Linked DNA regions of Struthio camelus. The protein of the gene in region 1 interacts with the protein of each later gene in a pairwise test. Links are inferred from orthologs where the notes say so. Each region holds a gene or a part of one and is shown on either strand. Other genes may lie near its edges.

Region 1 (7,719 bases):
ACGCTGTTACAGCTGACAGGCCGTTTAGGATCTTGCTCCTTACCATTTCTCTGTGATTTGAAGGTGTGGGCTAAGCCTTGCCCTGGTCTATCCCTCAGCTGGGTACTTTGCTCGCCACCCTCAGCTTTCATACTCCTTACAAAATACACCTGTCCGTTCCCCCTCAATACGATCTCAACTTTCTGCTCAACGTTTTTCTCAATAGAAAACAGGGTTTTCCGTTAGTCATTTTTCATTTGAAACTTCCACTAACCACAACAATTTTCCACTTTTTTTGAGAAACTAAATGTCCCAAAACAGAAACACCTGACTGTGCTGAATCAGTATCCTGTGGAAGCCGAAAGAGATTTCTCCCTGTCCTTCTCTGTGGCTGCGGCGGGTTGGCCAACCCAAGATACCTTCCCACCCAATGACTTCTGTCCTACACGGAAGAAGAGAGGCTTCCCGGTGCACATTCTGTGCCATCTACGCTGGTACACTAGGACCACGTCAGTGACCAGCTGCCATCGTCCCAAAAGGCTGCTGTCGACATCAGCAGGAGGTGTAAGCCCCCAAATACAAAATCTAGCCCCTCATAACTGCGTGAGTTTGATGTCCCGGCTTCAGGACAGGCTATTAACGTCACTGCTTGCTCCTGGTTTCTTCAGTGCAATGTATCAAGATGCTGTGAAGTAACTGATAAGCAGGTAACTCTTCATGGTTACTTTCACAGCAAGAAGGCAGCTAAAAACAAAGACAACAGTCTTTCCAGAGGTAAGTAAAAAAACCACTACTTACTGACAGAGAAGCTGCGCTCCCTGGCCCATAGGTGCTGGGAACGTGTCGGAAACCTCTTTGCAGCGACATCCCTGCCGGTGGTGGTGCTCCCCTGCAGCCTGATTGATTGATGGCAAATCCCACGGGAAACGGGTGGTAAGGATACACCCCAGAACGCCCAGGGTACACCTTCAGAGGTTCTCTCTCCAGGTACTCTGGGTTAACCACGTATTCTGGAGGAAAAGCCCGGTGAGCTGGGAAACAGTTAGCAAAGAACAAATAGAAGCGTCACTGTAGTGCTGTGGAGTTCAACCGAAATAGCTGCAGGGCCAAATTCCACTCTCAGCCAGGAGCACCTGGCCATTTGGTTTCACGTTTACCCCGATGAACTTCTTTTGTGATCTTTTTAAGGAACTAAGGAAAGGTGCAACAGGCAAACGAACCACTGCAGAAGGAGCTGCAGTCTCTTCTACCCTCCTGTGCATTGTGAAGCTAGTCCTTAGTAAAGCACTGACTGCAGAGTCTTATTCTTTCAGTATAGCCACAACAGCAGGAGAAAACAACCTGCCTTAAGACTTAAATATATCAAAACTAAAAAAAACATATATAGAGAGAGAAATAATATACAGCTCTACATTCAGGACTATTAGCACTTCCAAAGTTAAGAGGCAGAGAAGTCCTCATTTTTAGGTTCCGTGACAAAGAGCGGCAGTTTCAGATGCAGGAATCAACTGCTTCCTTTGGGTTTTTATCTTGTGCCTGAACTCTCACATGGCTTCTCTGATGTCTAAAAAAAAAGGGGCTGCATGAAAATGAATAGGGTCTTTCTTGTCTGCACCATCCCCCTGTTGATGTAGCAGTGGAAGGGTTTGCTTCTCGAATAAATCTACCGGAGTACTATAATTCTGCTGTTTGCCCCTAACTCTGCTTGAAATCGGTCAACAGGTTAAAAATTTTATTAAGGGAAAGACTGACAGGAACATGCACAGCCAGCATGATCCATAAGCCTCATTTCCTTAGGAAACCAAGCCGAAAAAATGGAACAGTTATTGACAGATGAGGTGGGAACTAGGGATGTCTGAAATGACTCTTTTCTCCGGGCTTCTCAGACCAGCATTTTCTTTGTCTTCTAAACTGCCATCTCTCCACAGGCCCACGCTAACGGCTACTGCAGCCTGTCGGGATTTCTGTAAAATTACCACAGTAAATAGTAATAGTCTGAAATTACTATAATAAATAGTAATAGACTAGACAAGTCACATGAAAGACTCTATTAAAGGAAGCAATTTAAGAGGTGACAGACCATACACCTTTTCCATCTGCAAAATCTATGCTCCACTCTTAAATACAAACGCGCTTTTGCACCACGCGGTCCGCGCCAAGCTAAGCCGTTGCTACAGGAACGAAGGCCAAAAGGTCTCCTTCTTTTATGGCGCTATCATAAAACGCGTGCTCTAGGCGACTGCGGCAGTAACTTTGCCGTTTACTTGCCGTTGCTCAGTTTTTTTAAGTGTTTTTCTTGCTGAAGGGACGTGTCTGTGAAGCTGTAAACAAGGGGGCAGCGCTCGGGGACACGTGCGCACGCGCCTCTCTCGCGCAGTTGGTCACAGTTCGGTTTCCCTCCCAAATTTCCCTCCAGAAGAGCAACGCTCCGGCTTTAACTCCCGGCGTGGCAACACTTGCAGGAGCGGAGCAGCTGACCGCATCGCTCCTGCAGCTACAAAGTCGCACGACCCCGGCACCACCGGCACCATCGGAAACGCCGCCGCCGCAGGACAAACACACGCAGCCTCGCTCACCCGGGCGCACGGAGGGAGGGGACGGACGCGGGGGACAGCGGGGCAGGGTGGGGATGGCCGTCGGGGACAGGCGCCGGCGCGACCCTTACCGTAGTCCCAGAGCGGGGCGCCGCCGGGGGCAGGCGGCGGCGGCGGCGGTGGCGGCGGCGGCGGTCCCCGGCGCGCCATGCCCCGGCCGTTGCCTCCGGCCGGCGGGGCGCCCTTGGTGCCCTCGCGGCCGGCCGCCGGGCCGCCCTGCTCGGAGGCGCCGGCCGCCCCGGGGCCCTCGCCGGCGGGCTCGGCGGCCGAGGGGTCGGGCGCCTGCCGCCGCAGCGCCTTCTGGGCCGCCATGATCTTCTGGCGCTCGGAGATGAGGGCGCACTTGTCGCAGAGGCAGAGCTTCCAGCGGCAGTGCCCGGCGTGGCCCTTCACCGGCACCACGAAGCCGTGGTTGCGGCACCGGGAGCACTTGGGCGTCCGCAGAGCCGCCTTCGCCGCCGCCGCCGCCTCCTCCTCGGCCTCCATGCCGCTCCCGGCCCGGCCGCCGCGAGCGAGCTCGCTCAGCCAGGCGCCGGCGACGCTTCTCTTATATATCCAATGGCCGCGGCCCCGGCGTGTAGCGAGCGGGGCAGGCGGGGCAGGAGCCGGCCCGCTGCTGCCCGGAGGCTGGGGGCCGCGGCGCCCGGCGAGGCCTGCCCCGGCGGGGTTGGCGGGGCGGCGGGCAGGAGGAGGCAGGCAGTTTTGGGCAGGCTCCCTTCGGACTGTGTGGAGCGGCGGCGGCGGAGGCGTGTGCGCGGAGGTGTGAAACCCAGAGCCCCGTACACTGCGCGCTTAAATGATCAGTCTTCCCTGTTTGGCGCGCCAGCAGCTGCGCTCCCTCTCTTGCCTCGCATTTGCTTTCAACACAGGCAGCAGTTTCATTTTGTTTCCAATTTGCAGTATCCTTCTCCTGACCAGCAGGAGAGAGGGACTGCTTCAGCAGCAGCAACACACAAAAAAAAAAAAAAAAAGACTATTTCATCATTCTGGTTTTCAAAGCAAGGCTCTGCCGTAAGGGGGGAAAGCACATGCCAAAGACCAGTCTCCTGTTTAGAAGAACTGAAAACTCAGCGCTCCTTAGGCTCAGGAAGCAGGCACAGGTTTGCAACGAGCAACGCAAGCACGCCCCAGCTTCAGCATTGCTCGTAAAACCCTTGTGTTATTTGTTAACTGCTCGTAGCTACAAAAGCAGGCTTTCATACACTAGCCCAGTCCCAGGGCAAAACTCCGCATGGGGCGGTGTGCCGAATGACACTGCTGATTTGCCTCACGCATGCAATAGCTAATTCTGTTTTCAAATCCTGAGATGCTAACAGCTTCTGTAGCGCTACAAAGAATGCTATGAAAATAAACTAGCACCACGCACTTGTGATAAGCTTTTTTTTTCCCCCCCGATCCGTTTCAAGAGCACAAAGTCCCATCTCTCTGCTGCCCCGACGCAATTCTACTAACATGCAACAGGGTCGGCAGCCTTGCAGAAACGCTTGCTGCGGAGCAGCCGGTCCTGCAAGACTTGGGTGCACCACGCTGCCTCTCCGGGCCGGGGCTGCCTCTTTAAGAGATTTAGCAACAGTCTGGTTTGCACCGGCCCTGAGCAGCCAGACCCCCTGGCCCCTGCGAGCCTCAGGGCTCAGCTTGCCTCCAGCCTTCTGACTTGGAAAAGGCCCCTTCGGAGCTTAGCTCTCCTCCAGGAGGAGTTAGCCTCCTGCGGAGTTGTTTACAAGACCCGCTCTCCAAAGCAATTTAGACCCAAATTCTCAAATGCTCGCGAGCTTCTGTCCCTAGGTCGCCCAGCACAGCAGCAATCCCAGCCTGCAGACCTTGGGATCACACGTCTCCCAGACCTCGGGATTTGCCCGTATGCAAATGTAATCAGTATCCTGCCCTCGTAACGGGAATCCTGTTTCCCAGGAAGTCTCCGAGAGGGCTGTTCGGAAAGGCACCTTCGCGTGCATGGGCCCGGGTGCACTGTGGCTAAATAGCTTTGAATGTGTGACCAGAAAATGTTACCATTTGTTCCCGGTTCAGAAAAGCACTTGGTTAATATGTCTTCAATGCAATTCACTGTTAAATGCAGCATTGAGGTGCTGCTTGCTTGTGCCGGGGCCTGAACAGCCGATGATGATCCCGTAATGCTTCTGAACATTGACTTTGTATTAAATACGGCATGCTAGCATATTCCTAGTCTCCTGCCCCATATTTTTGGTATATTTTGAGGATGTGCATATTCAGCTGTAGAATCAAAGAGCGCGGATGACACATTTTAAACAACTGCAATTACATCTTTGCATAGATACACGTTCTGTGTCTGTCTGGATATTTAAATAGTGGAGGAGAAGGGTAGGTTGCGTACAATTTACATAGTAATTTTCAACTCCTATCATACTAATTTTCGAGACATTTGCTCAAACATACTTAACTTCTCTCTCTCCCCTCTCAAGAAAGGTATGCTGGTCATGGGCAGTAACCGTCTTCTCCATACATACACCATAGCTCTGAAAGCCGTGTGGGTTTTTCTTTTGAACAGTTTTCACCGAGGCATTCAGGATTTATTCTGCTCTCCGTATAATTTGTTTCAAACATGACTAGACGTGCTTTCTATAGAAAAGTGAGCATTTTATTTTGTTCGTGAGATGAATATGTATTCCTGCAGACAGTTTGAAGAATTCGGCCGCTCCAGTCTCGTTACGTGTTCATGTATACATTTGAGTTAGCTTATCACACACCATCAGCAAGACTACCGTGCAGAGAAGACAGAGCAATTTGCAAAAATAAATGTTTGGAATGTGATGTAGAATTGTACGTGCATGCAGCTTCAAGTCAATTATCATTTTCTCCTTTGTTCTCATTGGAAAGAAAATGAGGCATACGAAAGACTCTGTTTTCTCCTCTGCTTAGTTACTTTACTGCAATATTTGAGGTATCATATAATGGGGCTGTAACATAAAGTGTGTACAGACGGACTTCTGTAGTACAATAGGATTTATAAGAATTATTATCTTGCCAAAATGAAGGGAAAGCTACCTGCTTGATTTCACGGTATTGAACTCAGTAGCAATAACGTCCCTACTTCTTTCGAGCTTCTGGGTTGTTGAAGTGCATGCTTTTGGTATGCAGGTTGCTTTGTATGTGAAACACAGTAAAGAAAAGCCACGATTTAGGTAGGAACAAATCAAAACACTGGCTGTCTTTAAGCTGAATCGCAGAAAACTGGGTTTGGGGTTTTTCCTCTTTCTCAGACTTTTCAGCTTATATTTTATACAGTAAATGTTTTTGGCAAGGCAATTGCTCTGCTTAGATTTGACATTTCTTACGGCACTAACAACACAATCAAGAAATTTGCTCCAAGGGTGGGCAATTGTGGAAGACTGCTTACGCTTTTTGAAACTGCTTCAGTTATAATGACTAATGTTCAAAAATCACACACAGAAGCTTCTGCTTCGTGATTCTTGCAGTCTGAGATCTCCACGAACAAACATTTGCACTCACCTTGCTTCAAATTAAATGTTTTCATACGCATAGCAGTCAGGAATATCTTTTGAATTTTTAAGACATCACATGCGAAGAGAAAATCCTCTCTTTGAACATTATCTGCATAGTTCAGAAGCTGATAAAAACTGATACAGGAGTAGCATTATCAGCTCTTCTACGTTATAACTGACGAGTCCTTTGTTTATTGCTATCAAATATGATACAATTAACATGAGGACGTTTACCTGCACAAGGAGGACTTTTCTCATGAGGACTAGCCAGGCTTTAGATGCTCCGCACCGCAACACATCCAGTGCCCTTCTGTTATGCATCCTCAACAAATAAGTTGACTTCACCTGCAGATTGGCAACGAATCTCCTGGCATCACTCCCTCTTGGGTGCTGTGGCTCCCTGCACTGACTGATGAAGCTCTCAGGTCAATGTCCTGATGCCTTCCTGGATGTCTCAAGTCAGGTGCGGCCCAGAAAGCCGCACAGAAAGCTGGCTGGCCAGAAAGCTTCTCCAAACAGCCAGGGAACATCAGAGCTCCCTTCCCTATCCTGTTGCTGGGAAGGAAGTGTTTCCGTCTCCGTTTCACAACGTCCCTGGGGTATTAGTTAATTTAAATATAGCTTGGTTCTCCCCACACTGTACTGCAGTTACAGATGTCCTTTCTCCCCATCCACATGGCCAGAAAACCTGTCTAGACTAAAGCAGTCTCCTTTGCCCACAGTTTTTCACTCAGAAGCCTTCCACAAAGCATGTCCTTCTCGATTATGTCATCCTCCCTTTGCATTCCTCCCCCTCTTTTGCATCAGTTTTATCCTACTTCTCTTCCCCGAAGAGAAATCCCTTCCACAGTCTGTCCTCATCATTCCTCTCAGCCCATGTCCCCTGTCAAGATGCGGACTCTCACCTTCACCTGGCCCAGAATATCATCTTTTTAAATAGCACTGAAAACACACCTTCATGCTTTCCTCTGCAGTCACGCTCATGCTTAGGAGAAGATCCTTAGAAAAAGTATCAAAGCCTTTAAAACATCATTCCACTGATCGGCGTTATAGCATGTCTCTTTTACCAGTAAACCTCACACTGCTACGTATCCCTCAATCGTGTCTGTCAAAGAATTGCTAGGATCAGCTGTTGGTTAATATTCTTATGAGGCTGTCTAATCCTGGGCACAGCAAGCCTAGATGACCATGAACATGAGTCTTGGAGTTCCTTCCTTATACTATATTTTCCACTTCTCTAATCACCATGGAATTGTACTGTAGTAAACAGATTTTTTAAAAATGCTAGGAAAAACTTCGGTCTAAAACAGTTCAATACGATTAGATCACACCTACCTTCAGAGCTGAAATGGCCGAAATGCTTTTGGGTTGAACCAGTTTTAAATCTGGTTCCAGTTAACTTGTTTAGAGCCATATGGGCAGATTCACCTTTATGTTATCTTCCGTCATTCAAACGGAAGTTCCATTGGGGTGGATTTTTTTATTGTTATACAGGTTTTAGATGGAGCAGGATTAGATGCTGATTTCCATCTACTGTCTCCAAGAGGTGAAAATCTATGTTTTGGTCAGAGAAAACTGGATGGAGCTCGTACATGAGTTTAAAATCTTCAAAAATTAGAGAAGCTATGCAAAGCATGCTTCTGTGTGTGTGTGTGTGTGTGTGT
Region 2 (8,079 bases), on another chromosome or scaffold:
CAACATTCCAAAAAGTTTTCTGACTCCACAATACTTCCACCCAATTGCCAACGTAAACAGGAAAAGCAAAAAAGCTTAAAGGGATAGCAGAATTCTTTCTGAAGCTATTTAGAAATACAGATAATTTTTTTTTTTTAAGAAGGGGTGAAGAATAGCTTCAGCACTACTAACTCTTAAAAGAGCGTCTTCTGCAAGAGTCTCCACATCCCTCATTTTTGGATTCTAATACTTCACAAAACAGAGATTTCCAGAGCTTCCTGAATTTAAACAATCTCAAAAGATGCAAGGCTCTAGACATTCCTTTTTTCCCCTGTGTCCTTTCCTTATCTGGGACGTTTCTCTTCCTTTTGTTCTTTGACAAAATAAGTTTGAGGCCTTCTCTGGCTAAATACATAAACTTCAAGAGATTTAGGAATTAAAAAAAAATTAAAATGTATGAAAAGCTCATTTGTGCTAAAAAGTCTTCTTGGTCAAGTTTCTTCTTGATGTTTATTATAAACCTTGCTAATTATTCCAAATATGTCATGTTCTCCATCACCATAGAAAACATGTTCTAAATAGCAGAACACACAGATTTGAAAAGTAAAATTTATAGTGAATTTACAGCTTATCAAATTCTTTAAAAGACGGACTACGGGAAGCTATATATGGGGAGATTCTATTTTTATGTTAATATTCTCTACTTGTTTTTTTTTTTTAAAAAAAACTCCTCTATCATTTATTTCAGAAAGTCGAGTTTTCTCAATATGCTATTTTCTGTTGTACTCCAGTTGCTATCTCATTTTTACAGTCTTTGGAGAGGGCGGGGAGTTGTTCTATCAAATATAACCAGCTCTTTCATCTTCCGAGGTCAACAACTTCCCAAAGTTCGTTTAACCAGGAGGAATACGGCTACAAGCAAAAATCCTAACTCAAAATCTCGAAACTCAGTATTTCATGCTAAGATTCTCAAGAAGTTGAAGCTGCATAAGTAACTTCTGTTTTTATTCGGTAGCTTTATAAAATTTGTAGAGTTAAACAGTTCTCACTTTCCGGAAAGCCAAGGTTTAGATGGTAGGGAAGGAAAATCTTTTAAAAAGAAAGGCAAATCTGTGAACCCAAACAAAGCTAATCCAATATACCAAGAAGAAATGGGTCGCCTTATTTTCAACACAGTAGTCTGCCACTGTAGGGGAAAACGTATGGGACGCATGAAGTTTCTAGCTTTTAACGTATTTCAAAACGTAGCCATATATTTGTAAAGACGCACCCTTAAAAGAAGCTATTAAAAAAAAAGTGGGGGGGGGGGCGCCAACCCACATGAGCGGCCTCTCATCACTTCGAAGCAGGAATTGGGTGCGGGGCTGCAGACGGCGCCGGGGTTAGAGGCAGCAGTGGACGTTTGGCAGCAGCAGAGGAGGCAATTTCGTAATTTCTTTTTTTCACTAAAGTCATACGTAGGAGTCTTTCAAGTTAGTTTCTTTAAAAGGTAAGAATAGCCGACAGTCGAATTCGCTCGCTTCTCTTGCAATATAGGAAAATTGTAATTAGTTTGTGGCCAGTTTGGGGTGGGGTAGTGCTGGAGCTGAAGAAAGAGCTCGGCCCCCTCGGCCTTAGTCATTCAAGTTCAAGCAGCTTCCAGAACAGCCAAATCTCGAAACCAAACACCCTCCCAACCCCCTTGCTCCAGGCCCTCCGAGCGAGTCGGCTAACACTCCCACAAAACGCACCGCACAGGACCCTTCTCTTCTCCCAATACTTTCCGCCGTGAACGGGGAGCCACGCAGCGTTGCAAACAACGCTTTCCCCTCCTCCCCTACCTTCCCCCAAAGCACATTCCTGAGCTCCTCTCCTCGTCTCTACTCGCTCCCTCCCCTCCATGTGGTAGTCACCCTTCCCCCGGTTTTAGGAGACAGCGCGGAAAAAAAAACAACCAACAACAACAACAAAAAAAAAAAAACAGGGACCTGTACACTCAGGGCTCCCTCTTCCCCTCCCACTCTCTCGCCAAGTCCCCCAATACCACAAGCCAGGAATCAGGGCGGGGAGATCCCACACTTCCCCTTTGTTTTAAGGGCTCAGGCGAGGGCCGAGAACGAGCGATGAACACCAGCGAGAGAAAGAGAGAGGGAGAGGCAAACAGGCCCCAAACTCCCCACGGCCACCCCGGGCCTGTCGGGGCAGGGGCGAGGGGGCAGAGCGGGAGCCCGAGAGCAGCCTGGAGGCCCAGGCAAGGGGTGGGGGAGGCAAGGCAGGGCGGCGGAGCGGGAGAGAGGGGGCAGGGAAGCGCTTTTACCTTCGTCCAGCAGCCTCTCGAGGTGGTTGAAGATCCCACAGAAGTTGGGGAGGCTGCTCATCAGCTTCTTGTCGTTCATGAGCTGCATCAGGTAATCGGGGCTCGGCTTCGGCTTCTCCTTGGTTTCCATTTCCCCAACCATATTCCAAACGCGCGCAGAGACGGCGAGCGCCCGCACCAGCTCCGCCGAGCAACGCGACCGCGGCACGGGGCGCCCGGCTGGATCCGAGCGGGCAGGGAGGTGGTGGGGGAGGGGAGGGGGCGGGGAGGGGAGCTTCCCCGAGGAAGGAGGAGAAGGAGGAGGATTCAAATCCGGAGACAAACGCAAACCGGCCGCCGAGTCCAAGGGACCGAAAAAAAGAGGAAACTCGACAGAAACCCCCTCGCGGGCTGCGCCCTCCTCCCCGGGCACAAGGACCCGCCGCCGCCTCTTCTCGGTGCTGCTGCCGCCGCCGGGGCCGCTTCCCTGCTCCGTGCGCCCTCGGCCGGCGCAGTCCTCGATGTGTTCCCCCCCTCCTCCTCCTCCTCCCGCGCACACACACACGCTGAGCCCGGCTTCTCTCCTCGGCGCTGCCCGCTGTCTCCGCGGCGGGGGAGGGAGGAGGGGGGCCGAGCGGGGCGGGCGGGCGCTGCTGGCGAGGCTGCCGCTTCCGAGGAGCCGCCGCCGGTGTTTCTTCGCTGCTGCTGCTGTTGCCGCCGCCGCTGCTGCTGTTGCCGCCGCGCTGCGCCTGGTGTGTCCTCTCCGCCTCCCGCCGGCCCGCCCGCCCTCCCGCCGCCGCCGCCGCCGCCGCCTGTGGCTGGTGAGTGTCAGCCCCGCCGCCGCCTCCTCACTTCTCCTCAGTTCGCTCCGGAGTTCGCTTCAGTTCAGGCTGCGCTGGCAGCGGCAGCAGCAGCGGCGGCAGGAGGAGGGGAGGGGGCAGGGCCCGCGGGGGTGGGCACACGCCGAGGGGCGGGCGCAGGGGCGGGGCGGCCGTTAAGCGGCGGTGGCAGCGCCGCTTGGCGGAGCCAACCGTCGCTCCCTTTCCGCTCCGAGCCCCTTGGGCGGCGGCGGCGGCCGCAGCTCGGCGGGGGGAGGGGCGGCGAGCCGCGGGCCCGATGCGGAGGAGGGGGGGTATCTCTCCCCCGGCCCCGCCCCTCCGAGCGTGTGCGCGCGGATAGGTGGCGCAAGCGCGCGGGCGCGGCGCGGAGCGTCGCGTGCGGCTCCCGCGCCCCTCCCCTCCCCCCCCGCCTCCCGGCTGGCTCCGTAGAAACACGCGCGCGCACAGAAACTCTTCTAAACAAAGTCCTGTTACTTCACCGATTCCGCGCGGGGGGGGGGGGGGGGGGGGGGGGAACTGGGTCACGTGGGTACCCAAGGGGCGGGGACGGGCCGCGCCGAGACGCGCGTGCGCCTTTCGTTTACAACGCGGCTGCCGCCTCGCGCGGCAGAGGGGAAACGAGCTGGGCGGGGGCGGGGAGGGGCGGCTGACTGCGTCGCGCATGCGCCCGCGGGCTGTGGGCGGTGCGCGTGGCTGCGCGGCACGAGGAGCAATTTCTAATCCTTAAAGCGGCCGTGGGGGCAGGAGGAGAAAGCGGCGCGGGGCTGAGGTACTGGGGGCCGCGGCCGGGTTGGAGGGAGCTCCCTGGCAGTAGGCCTTGCGGGACGGCGCTGTGACCAGCCCCCGGGGGAAGGCAGAGGAGAAGGGGGGGGGTGTAGCGCGCCCCCTCCCCCCAGCCACCCCGCTGGGACAGGTGGCGTGTGCCGCTCTCCGCGCGCTGCGGGAGCGGTTTAACGGCCCCGTTCGAACGGCGCGGAGCGGACCGTTGCGGGAGGCGCTGGCTGGCTGGCTGCGCTGGCGCGGGGCGAAGGAGGAAGACAGGCGGTGCCGGTCTAGCCTTCCAGACGCACGCCCCCTCCCCCCCCCCCCGCGAGCCCGACCGACGCCGGAGAAGCGGCGGCCCCCGCACCCGGCGGGTGCTGCTGCGTTGTGCCGCGTGCCAACGGCACCATCCGCCCGCCTCGGCGCTCCGCGGCCGCCAGCAGCGCCCGCGGAGGCTGGGCCCGGCTCGGTCCTCGGCAGCGCGGACCACCGTGCAGGTCCCCGGCGCGGCACTGCCCCGGCGCCCGAGCCTTACCGGCAGGGAGTTGGACGCGAATCACTCGAAGCTTGTTTGGGGGGTTTGGGTGGGAGACGTGATGGGAGAAGCAGAGTCTGGCAGCCAGAATCAAAATTAACGTGCTCCACTGTAGCCGCAGAGGCAAAGCAGCTTGACGCGATTGTTTGTATGTGTTCCTGGTCGTCGTCGCCTTCCCCATGCTGCTACTTGATGTTCTTGTTTGATTTTTATTATTTAGGATATCATCAGAAGACCTTGATGCAATTATAAGTAATTTGGAAGAACTTATATTATAAAACTGGATAAAATATTTTCCTTTCACACTTCTTCTAGTTCACTGAAATCACGCAGTCATTGTTCATGTGCCTTGCCGTGCAGTGGCCCCTGCTGTACGCGTATATATGTCTAGATACTGCTTGTTGTAGGAGTATATGAGTCTAGATATTGCTTGAAGTTGATACAGAATTCATATGTAATGTCATATGTACCGCACAGTATTTGAAGAAAATTGAAAAACTGAGTTCATCATAAGTACTTCTTCCAAAACTAAAAAGAAGCACAACCGCATTGTCTTCTTGACAAGTGTGCAGTTTTATTGGGTGTTGTCAAGCACTGCTGTTGTACTTTTTCTAAAAGATACGCATTGACAAAAATTTAGAGAAAGTGTAGCTCTCGTATTAGTAAAACTGCCTTAGATTATTGCGTCCTTTCTGTTGCATGTTGGATTCTTCTGTTGTAAACATTTAGAACTCTTTAAAACAAGAGAATTTTTTGGATTTATGCTATGTAATATTTATTTACTTATATAAGATAAGTCATATTTATTGGTTGCATCATTCAAAAAACACAACCCCTGTATACTCAAGTAAAAACACCTACTAGTTTTATTACCAAGGAGAGAGTAACAATGTTATGAGCTGGTTTTTTCTTCAGTTTAGATTCTTAGTCCATGAACAGCATGCCTGAAGTACGCTGCAGTATGGCTATGGATCACGAAACAATACCCCATTTAATAATGAAGATACAATTGCTTTTTTTCCCCCCCTCTTGCTTTAAAGTTGTGCCTAAAGCCAGAACACACCTTATAGGCCTAACAAAACTGTCATCCCTGCATGTCATCATTGCAGATCAGTCTGAAAGATGATGCATTTGCTTGTAGCCATTTATTTACTTGTTTTTCACCCAGTGAGTGAAAGCTCTTTATAACCCTAAGAAAACTTGTTATTAAATCCTTCAATTTGATTAAGGATATCACTCAGCCAGCAGTCCTTCATGATAAAATGAGATGAACTTAGATAATATCAGAATAATTGTTCTGGAGTGCCAATTCTCATAGTAAAAATAGCAAATGGAGACTTTTTTCCAGCAGATTTAGTGCAGCTGTTCCCAGTGCTCCCTGCACATAAGGTGCTTACAGTGTGTGAATATGCACAGAGAAAACAAGCACATAATTTAAGGTAAGAAATGCTAGCAAAAGTTATTGAATGGTAACTGCCAGTTGTTTTACTTACCAATAGAAACAAAACAGCTCATCCCTAAGCTATGTTACATTATTTAGCGGGGAATAAGATGATGCACACCAGCAGTTACTGAGGAATAGCTATTGCCTTGCAAAATTCAAGCTCTAGTTTACTCTGTGTTAATCTGATTTGTCTTCTCGGTCTAAATAGTGCAAAAATTGAGTCAAATCTATGTGCTGAAACTGCCAATATAATTAGGCATAACTGACTTAGGAAAAATTCTCATCCTTCATCTTTCCACAAATATTTTTAAGACTGTGAATTTTTAATTCATTGGGAAGATACCTTCAGAGAAGCTAAATGTTTTGGCAATAAGTATTGCAGATAGCTCACCATTAGTTTTAAATAAGCACATCAGTGTGACATCTTACTTTATCACGTATACAGTAAAAACAAAGTTATCTAAAAGTCTTTCCAAGCATACCTTCTCATGTTCCTCTCTGTCTCTTCGTTCCTGCACTTCCATGCCCCAGAAAGGGGATTTTAAGAGTGCGTGGAAGACGCAGGTAGAAGTAGTTCTGGTTAAAGGGCTGTGAAACTCAGAGCTCCCATGAAGACTGACGTGCCTGGAGCCTGATCTACAGAGGAGCTAGAAATGCTGTTGCACTGTACTGGATTTTGTTACTTTCCCATGAGGGGAAAAATATGTGGACTTTTTTTGTTTTTGTAACCAGATCCTATTTATAGTTCTGTAGATAACAACCCAAAACTTTAAATTCTGTGGGGACACAAGCAGAAATACAGATCTTTAACCCCTGTGCTTTCATCTAGGTAGCCCTTCCTGTACCATTCAAGCTGCAGTATTCTCCAGCAGTTTCTCTTTTAAGGGGTGAAGTTTTATTGCGTTAATCTAATCTTGAAATAAGAAAAACTGTGATAATTCCAGCAGCAGCCTCTGCGTATTACAGTAAAGCCCTTGCACTGATCATAAAAAGCAAACTCAATTACTGTTATAACATTCATATCTGATAGCAGCTTGGGAAATAGGAGAGCTGAAGGCTGATGACTACTGGGAAACATACTCTTTCAGTTAATGTTGGCTGTTGCTTCCACTGTTTCTGTTGGTTGTGTCTTCCAGCCTATAAGCCTACTAGTCTGTAATCTCTTCTACGTGCTAACAGAGGCACTAGACCAAGTCATAGGCATTTGCAGCTGGACATCATCAGCTTTCTGCAAATACTATCTGAAACAGTAAGGTAACAGTACCTCCCTTCTTTAGGGAAAGAAGCAATTCTTCAATTACCCCTTACGGTCACTTAAGGAAAAAGACCACTTTAGGTGCGTTTGTCATCCAGTATTGACTTGTTTGTGGTATATAAAACACTGCATTTGGGATGCAGCAGTTAGACATGGCCACTACCAGGTGGACATTGAATCTTCATTGATCTCTGGAAGGTGATTAACATGTGAATGGAGTAAGATCTAGAGCCAGACTAAAAAGCTCAAGAAATCGACTGTAGTGATACTGTGATGCGTCCGAAAGTCTCTTTAAAAAACTCTTTCATTTGCCTGTGTTATTAAGATGTCAGATAACGTCTCAAACAAAAGCCATAGTACTGCATGGTTCAAAGTAATAAGCAAAGGGCCTAGTATTCATAGCCAAAAAAGGGGAAGAGTTTAAAAAACAAAACAAAAACACCTGAAAGTCTGTGTTGCAGTCCTCGAGTTCATTACATATTAATGTTAAAGCTTACCTGTCTATTCCGCATGCCTGGTGTATCCTGGCTGTAGAAATGGGCGCTTAATCCAGCTGGAGTGGTGTCTTTAAACAGCAGAGAGTTGAAGAGATGTCTGAGTTCTGTTTAAATCTCAAGATAAGCTTGATCCATTAAACATAGCCTGGTTGTAACAGGTAGACCTAGGTTCCATTGCTGCATGTAGTCCCGGAAAAGATAATGCGTCATTTTTGCTCACCAGCAAAGTGGTCACTGAAGATATGGAAGATCTGGGATTTAAGCATACTTTAGTCTGGAAGGATTCAGATCTGCATCTTCTATACCTAAGGCACTGTAATCTGTACAGCAGCTGGGAAGAGAAGGGTAGTATGCCTGAAAATCTCTGCTGTTGGAACTGAGCCATTCCACAGGTTGGAGTAAAGGTGCCAGAAGAAGACTGTGATTAGCCTACTTATGCAAGAGTAGAAAGACCTATATTCTGCTCTCTCCTCCTCAGGTTATTTAGTGATTA

What was found.
Region 2: the proteins of DMRTB1 (region 1) and QKI interact in a two-hybrid assay, tested with the Homo sapiens proteins (2 studies listed by BioGRID). The link is inferred for Struthio camelus from reciprocal best matches to the Homo sapiens genes DMRTB1 and QKI.

Annotation. Positions count from the first base shown.
Region 1 is NC_090949.1:32,201,536-32,209,254, reverse strand, and holds the start of DMRTB1 (doublesex- and mab-3-related transcription factor B1), read right to left. Parts: upstream 3,060-7,719; coding exon 2,645-3,059; intron 1,011-2,644; coding exon 778-1,010; intron 1-777.
Region 2 is NC_090944.1:86,806,059-86,814,137, reverse strand, and holds the start of QKI (KH domain-containing RNA-binding protein QKI), read right to left. Parts: upstream 3,098-8,079; 5' UTR 2,418-3,097; coding exon 2,276-2,417; intron 1-2,275. UniProt on the Homo sapiens protein: RNA reader protein, which recognizes and binds specific RNAs, thereby regulating RNA metabolic processes, such as pre-mRNA splicing, circular RNA (circRNA) formation, mRNA export, mRNA stability and/or translation.